Linked DNA regions of Oryzias latipes. The protein of the gene in region 1 purifies or fractionates together with the protein of each later gene. This does not show direct contact. Links are inferred from orthologs where the notes say so. Each region holds a gene or a part of one and is shown on either strand. Other genes may lie near its edges.

Evidence for each region.
Region 2: the proteins of mcmbp (region 1) and mcm8 purify together in Homo sapiens (co-immunoprecipitation; 3 studies listed by BioGRID and IntAct, with this or other methods). This does not show direct contact. The link is inferred for Oryzias latipes from reciprocal best matches to the Homo sapiens genes MCMBP and MCM8.

Annotation. Positions count from the first base shown.
Region 1 is NC_019873.2:29,885,037-29,888,787, forward strand, and holds the start of mcmbp (mini-chromosome maintenance complex-binding protein), read right to left. Parts: upstream 2,326-3,751; 5' UTR 2,173-2,325; coding exon 2,115-2,172; intron 1,477-2,114; coding exon 1,385-1,476; intron 1,316-1,384; coding exon 1,175-1,315; intron 1,093-1,174; coding exon 1,051-1,092; intron 978-1,050; coding exon 888-977; intron 813-887; coding exon 689-812; intron 611-688; coding exon 465-610; intron 396-464; coding exon 298-395; intron 227-297; coding exon 54-226; intron 1-53. Other genes in the region: sec23ip (SEC23-interacting protein), read left to right, coding at 2,739-2,871, 3,431-3,751. UniProt on the Homo sapiens protein: Associated component of the MCM complex that acts as a regulator of DNA replication.
Region 2 is NC_019873.2:6,458,710-6,462,460, reverse strand, and holds the start of mcm8 (DNA helicase MCM8), read right to left. Parts: upstream 2,631-3,751; 5' UTR 2,490-2,630; intron 2,061-2,489; exon of another isoform or gene 2,042-2,060; intron 1,931-2,041; 5' UTR 1,929-1,930; coding exon 1,721-1,928; intron 562-1,720; coding exon 496-561; intron 419-495; coding exon 336-418; intron 261-335; coding exon 111-260; intron 33-110; coding exon 1-32. UniProt on the Homo sapiens protein: Component of the MCM8-MCM9 complex, a complex involved in the repair of double-stranded DNA breaks (DBSs) and DNA interstrand cross-links (ICLs) by homologous recombination (HR).

The DNA.
Region 1 (3,751 bases):
GTTTTCTTCTAGTCTGGAATCATTTCTGTTTCTACAAAAACACGCGTCCTTACAGGCGCCGTTGTCGTCCGAGGTTGCGTGCGGCAGCAGCGGGTTGTTGTGTTGCAGCGGTTTGGCGTGGAGCACGTGAAGCCGGGGAACGAGCGAGGCCGGCGGGCTGTGCACACGCTGCTCCTCCGCCGTCTCCATGCCCTCCGTGGGGTCCAGGAAGGACGAGGAGGCGTCTCTGCGAGGAAGAAAGGCGGTGAGACGGGCAGCACGCAGACAGGGGGCGGGGCTACGAAGCGAGGGCCTCACCTCTCCTCCGCCAGGGCGCTGAGAGCGGGACTGACGGACAGGATCCCGAAAACCTCCAGGGCGTCGTTCAGCTTGAAGCTCTCCCAGTCTTCGTACACCTGCCAACGAGCACAGCCTGAGGATCAGGGTTCCCACCGGAGCCACCAACGCGCTCGTCCAGCTCCAACCTTCACCAGGCAGGCGGGGCCCCTCTCTCCTGGGAGGGGGAAGTTGAGGTCGAGGTGGGATGCGGACGCCGCCTGGGTGGGAGGAGCCTCCGTCTCTTGACGCTTACAGTCGGCGTTGCTCTGCAGGTCCGTTGGACCCTGAAGACCTGCAGAAATATTTGGAGAACGTTTGAGGGGGGAGGACGCCTAAGGTTCGACACCCAGCAGACGGCGAAGACAAACACCTGCGTGAGCTTGCTTCTGCGGCTGCGTGTCCATGTCCTCGTCCTCCTCGTAGCTGCGTTTCTGCCTGCTCGGCACGTAGGAGGTGGACGCCACCACGCGCGCCTGGCTGCTGCCCGCATATCCGTGCTCTCAGGTTAAGGAACAACACACAACTGTTCACACTGTCATCAGAGAACCTGATCCCTGATCCCAGGATATGTCCTTCACCCACAGGTTCTCCCCAGGAATGGGCACACAGTAGAAGGTCTGCCGCTCTGCCGTCACGGTGTTCTTGGAGTTAAAGTCCACCTGGGATTCAAACCAACAGCTGAGCTGAAGCGGCTGCACCACCTTTGAGGACAGCAGCAGGATGCAGACTCACCCCACATTCTGCCACATCCCTGTACTTCCCACAGTGCAGCATCTGGGGGTCAAACAGGACAAATGAGGGGGAGGGGGGTCAGCTGATGCTAGAGATGTGGGGGGGGGGGGGGGGGCACACTCACTTTAGCATCCGTGGGTCCGTCCACAGTCTCATACACTCCCATGTAGAACTCCGGGTCAAACATGTCCTGGATGAAGCAGCGAAACTTCACCAAACTGTTGGGCTTCAGGTAATGCAGGGGAACGTCGTTGAGAGACGGAACCTGGTCCAGAAAAGGACAAGGTCAGAACCGGACGGCCGGTGAAGACGCCGTCTGCAGGACTCTCCTCACCAAACTCTGAGCGCTCTTCTCCTTCAGCTGCTCCTTAAAAAACTCCACCACCTCCGCCTCCCACCCGGGGGAGGAACCCTTCTGCGCAGCCGCTGCAGCATCAAAGGAAGACGTCATTTCCGGCAGCAAATGAATGCTGCTGAAGGTTTAAACTACGGTTTGCATTTTATATTAACATGTGTGAATGTGTCATTTTATTCGATCGTTTAAAAAAAATGTTAAAATAACAAACACATTGGCATTAAAAATGAAATAAAGTAAATGTTTAATGAACTTCAAGATTGTTGGTTTCGTTCTTCATGAAGGAATTCGTCATCATCAGAGACTGTATATATGAAGTCACTTCAAAAGAACCAGTATGACAAAACAAAAACGTCTTTAGATCTAACAAAAAGTTGACGAACCCCGAACGACATTTCTACAGTCAGTAAAGGTTTCCGCGCGCCCGATTCTCGTCTATGTCCACCGACTGTGTCAATAAAGTTTTAAACTGATGCACCGCGGGCAGCGGCACCAGTGCGTCAGTTTCAGTGTCTTTGTGTGAAATGTAATAATAACCACCTGGTTTATTCCTTTCTTGTTGCTGTTTTGCATTGTTGTGTATTGAAATGTTACATTTAATAAAGTTTGTAAAGGAAAAAAAAAAAGCTCCATGTGAGGGCGGCTGGACGCGCGCGCGGCTAACGAGCTAGTCTGAGGCGTTAAGTGTTTGTGGAGGGAAGTTTCTCACCAAACTTCTCTTCAACAACACCGAGAGGTGCGTGAATCCAGTCCTGCGTGGAAAGCATCGCTAACCGGCCACTGAACCCGTGGAATCAAAGACAAACGTGCGAGGAAAACCCGCGCGGCTTCACTTCTCCGATAAGTTTTTCACTCACTCGGGATTGCAGAAGCGAGGCGCGAAATTTGCGTCACTGCGCACCAAGAGGGGGTTGGTTTGATTCGAGAACCGGAGTAAACCGGAGCGCGGAGCCACAAGCAACTTTTTGCTTTTGTTCACCGCCCTAAAAACTGGTTTGGATTCCGAAGTCGTTACAAATTAAGTAGAAATTTGTTATCTCTCACGAGATTTTACTTTGTTCTGACAAAAGAAGAAAAAAGGTGCAAAAAAAAAACCAAAGGAGTTTGAATCATCATCCGGGCCTCTAGATGGCAGCACCAAAAACATTGATCCCCTCGGGTCAAGCCAATCGGGTATGTTTCGAAGATTTATAAAACATCTGCTAAGATGTTTACTGAAATCTAGTGTCGCGTGAGTGTTGGAGATCGGGGAAAACTGTGACGTCAGGAGACGTTTCTTTCGCATTTACTGCCAGCCTGGTCCGGTTGTGGCTACGTGTAAATCCAGCTGAAAATGGCAGATAGAAAAAATAACAGTGGTCCCGACAGCAGCGCGAATTTACTCTTTAGTGCCGCTCCAGACTTTAGCTTTAACCTGCCTTTCATGCCGGTGAGTCAGGCGTCGGGCCCGGCGGTGCTGTCAGGAGGTGAGCGGAACCGCGGACGGAGGTCCGAATGTTGTCAGGGCGAGAGCTAGCTAGCTAAGCTAGCCGGTTAGCTAGCTGTGCTGCTTCAGCCTTTAAAAACCCTCAGATTGAGAGAAAAGATGAAAAAGTGACGCGTTTTATCTGCAACACTGGATCTGCTTTTGTTAAAAGAAAATGAGTCAGTTTAAACATTTTTAGTGAAGAGTTGTAAATGGATGAACTTTGTTCAGATTTAAAACAATGTTGTTGTTAAAATGCTGGAATCTGTCTTTTAGAGATTTATTTTATTTATATATTATACATGTATTTTAGTGAAGTCAACATGCTTATTGCCTGAAAACCACTCGATAACATCCTGTTTGATCGTTTCCACTTAGGAAAGGATCACACAGGATGTCATGGTGCTCATAAAAGTTTAGAATCATATGGAGAAAGCTGGAAATGTTGTGGACGGCGGTGAAGCTTCACTCCTGAAGTTTGATGTTTAGAGAAGCCTCACAGAAACCCTGACCTGCAGTTTCAGTGTCAGAAAACGTTGACCCGTCTTTGTGTCCATCAGAAGACTCTACTGACGTTGGAGAAGAAGACAGTTTCCTGGGTCAGACCTCGGCCAACGGTCCGCCGGCGGCCTCCTCCACCTTCAGCTACTTCTCCAACCCCGTAACGACCTCTGACCCCTTTGCCAGTATTGGTCAGTCACCATGCCCGCCAGCAGGACGCTCCTCGACCTTAACCGCTGCTGGACCCGTTTCTTTTCCCAGCAGCATCGCCATGTCTCCGCCATCCACAGCTTCACAAATGAACCCCCCTCCCTCAACGTTTGGCAGTGCTGTTTACCAGAGTCCGCTGGGACGACAGACTCCTCCCCCTACAACGATGA
Region 2 (3,751 bases), about 23 Mb from region 1:
GCAGCTTGTTTCTCCAAATCTGTTGTCAACACCTGAAACACACACGCAGCTTGTCAGAGTTTGAAGGGATGACTGTGTGTAAAAGTGAAACACAAAGCCAGATTGTGTACCTGATGAATGGCCAAGCCCAAACAGCTGAGCATCACCTCCGGCTGCTCTTTCAGTGCCGTGACCACATCAGGGAGCGCTTGACTCACGCTTCGGTCTCCGGTCAGGTCAGCGTAGTCCACCAGCACGCTGCCCTGGCGCTCGATCTCATCCTGAACACATCAGGAAGTTTACAAACAGAGACTGACCGCCAGTGGAGGAAAGTAACGAGATCAAATATGACTGACTTTGTCAAAAAGATGAATCCTGGAGGTGAAATATTTCTCAAATACTTTGATCTTCTCCACACTGGGGGAGCTCTGTATAAATCCTACAAATTCAAATAAACATTAAAGGGAGAAAAAGACCTTAACCTTATGTGAGCGTTACATCTTCATCTGCACATACCTTCAGTGAAGTAGAGGCTCCAACCTTTGTATGGGCATGAGGCGTCCAGAGTGGTCTGAAAAGGGACTGAAGGGGACAAAAAGCAGCTTCTGAAAACACCTCCATTTCATATTTAGGGGTGAAGAATAATACTAAATCTTTACCTCACAGATTTTATACAGTAGAATATTATAGATTGTCATGTTAGGAAAGACTCCTCACATTTTGACCCAAAACAAAATTATTCAAATGAATAATTTTTAAAGCCTAAATATCTGTGTTTCAAGTGGATTAAATTAAAATATAAAATATGTATGTAAAATTAGAATTTTATATATATATATATATATATATATATATATATATATATATATATATATATATATATATATATATATATATATATATATATATATATATTTAATTTTACATCAAGAAACTTAGCAAATAAAGCAGATATTAGTTCTGCCATAACTTTAGTTTTTCTCAGTTCTTTTAAGACAAAACATGATTTTTTTTCCAATTCAAACTGATTTAAAATATAAAGATTCACAAAATTTCAGACCAGATGATCTTTTGGGGGAATTTCCTATCAGCGGAAAGGAAAACCTGTGTGAATCTCCACAGGGAAATCTATGAATACAATTATTAACGCCTCACTCTGTACTATTAGGAGCCGTTTTGTGACAGCACAAGATTCAATGTCGCCTCTGGGGCCCCCAGAAGCAGTCAAGGAGTCAAATCCGAGGAGGAGTGGATCACTTTGAAACCATCTGCGTGACGCTGAGAGATGATCAAACAGGACGTCAAACAGACATACTGTTTGATCTGCTTGATTGAATGACCCACTTTTATATTATCAACCAATAAAACCAGACTGGATACACTGGGAAGGCAGAACTCCTCTGTGACAGCTTTGGGCTGTGACAGACGGGCTTCTCCTTCTGCAGAAGTCTAACATAAATTCTCATCTCCTGTGGTTCTTCTCTTTGTTAGGGAAAAGTCGGTTTTTCCTCCTCATGCTTTCCACACCACATGTTTAGAACATGAGGCATTTCACAGGTAACGCTGCTTAGGTATGAATATACACGAGGGCAGAATGCTTAAACCCCTTGGCGTCACCAGGAAACAGCCACAGAGGGAGCAAACACAGATGTCAACCGTGTCTTTCTTCTGCAACATGAACGTTTCTTCAAGCAGTTTCCTTCTTCGTAAAATCAAAATGTGAAGAAAACATGGCACACACCTCTCTGAGAACTATAGGTCGGACTTGGTGATCCTCCGCCTCCAACACCCCTTCTCCAAGTTCCTGCAGAGCCTCTTCCACCCCCTGTGGATCCTCCTCCTCTCCATGGCCTGTTCTTCCATCCTCCTCCTCTCCATCCTCCTCTGCTGCCTCTCCATCCTCTACCACCGCCCCTGGATGAACCTCTCCTGGAGTCTTCCTCACTCATCCCTTTACAGTAATGAAGGCCAGAGAAAAGAACTGGTTTAAGCTAAACTAAAACATCGAGTAGAGGGAAAATGAAAGGAAAGTAAACATGATCATGAGTTTTACTACACTCACTGTGACACTGAGTGAGTGCAGAGACACAATGACAAACATCCAAGTTTAGACACCTTGCTATCCATTAAAAAAAAAAAAAATGCGAGTCTCTTTCTTTGGGGGTAAACACCCCCCCAATACTAGGATAGTGATAGTGAAGATAAAGTGAGAGTGACTCTAGTTACACGCATGTCTCTTAAGAACACAGACTACTTTTAAAAAGTCATACACTTAATAAAAAAGTTACAACAAACGGTTATGATCAGTTAAATTTAACAGAGCAACTGCGTCCTCACTGTGTCTGACTGTCACGAGTTAGCTAGCAACACCGGTTATCTTAAGCTTTTAGCGTCAGATACATGTATATGTCACGTGACATTTTAAGACTAGGAATATATTGTTCATGTCAGGTAGAACGGCGAAAAAAGACGATAAGTTACATAAATATGGAGTTAAATGCACGGTTTACCGAGCTTTTTGTAATTAAAATTCCCTCCTCGGACGTCAACTTCTTCTGTGAGTTTACCTAAACTGGCGAACCACTACTGCCCCTGGTGGTCTTCCTTGTCTTTCGGTTTTAGGCGGGCGATATCTGGCAGTTTTAGTGCATTGTCGCCGGAGTATGGAACGGCGTTCAGCAGTACAAAATAAAATAAAATAAAATAAAATAAAATAAAATAAAATAAAATAAAATAAAATAAAATAAAATAAAATAAAATAAAATAAAATAAAATAAAATAAAATAAAATAAAAATTACTTACATTTTTTATGTTTGTATTATATGTTTTTCCTGATTTACTTTTTGTTTTCTTCCTAAATCCTGAAGGGTTTTTAACATATTTCACTGCTTCATCTCCTTTATCACAATCACATGAACCTGAATGATGTTTTTGTGTTAAACCCATCATACTTTTCTCTTCCTTGCTTTGATTTTTTTTTTGTTATTTTCCTGAGAACACACATTGCTCCTGGTGGTTAGAGGTTGGTGAAAGTGTTCGGCAGTGGGGCTGCCATCAGTGTGTAAATGGAACTGTGGGTATGACCGAATTCGCACCGTAACCCCTATATAGTGCACTATAAAGGGTGTTTGCCATTTTGTAGTGCTGTCCTAATCTGCTTTTGCAAAATCGAATGCCCTAGAAATTTCCCAGAAGTCTTCTTTCTCTTTCGGCTTTTCCCATCAGGGGTCGCCACAGCGAATCATCGTTTTCCACTTCACTCTATCATGGACATCTTCTACCCTAACATTAGCCAACTTCATGTCCTCTGTTAAGACATCCATATATCTCCTCTTTGGCCATCCTCTTGCCCTCCTGCCAGGCAGCTCCATCTCCAACATACTTCTACCAATATATCCACTATCCCTCCTCTGAACATGTCCAAACCATCTCAGTCTGGCTTCTCTGACTTTGTCGCTAACACAGGCAACATGAGCCGTCCCTCTGATGTACTCGTTCCTTATCCTGTCTAACCTGGTCACTCCTAAGGAGAACCTCAACATCTTCATCTCCGCTACCTCCATCTCAGCCTCTTGTCTCTGTCTCACTGCTACCGTCTCTAACCCATAGAGCAGAGCTGGTCTCACCACTGTCTTGTACACCTTTCCTTTGAGTCTTGCTGGGACTCTTCTGTCACACAACACTCCTGACACTTTCCTCCACCCGCTCCAACCTGCCTGCACTCGCCTCCTCACCTCTTTTCCACACTCCCCATCACACTGAACTGTTGAC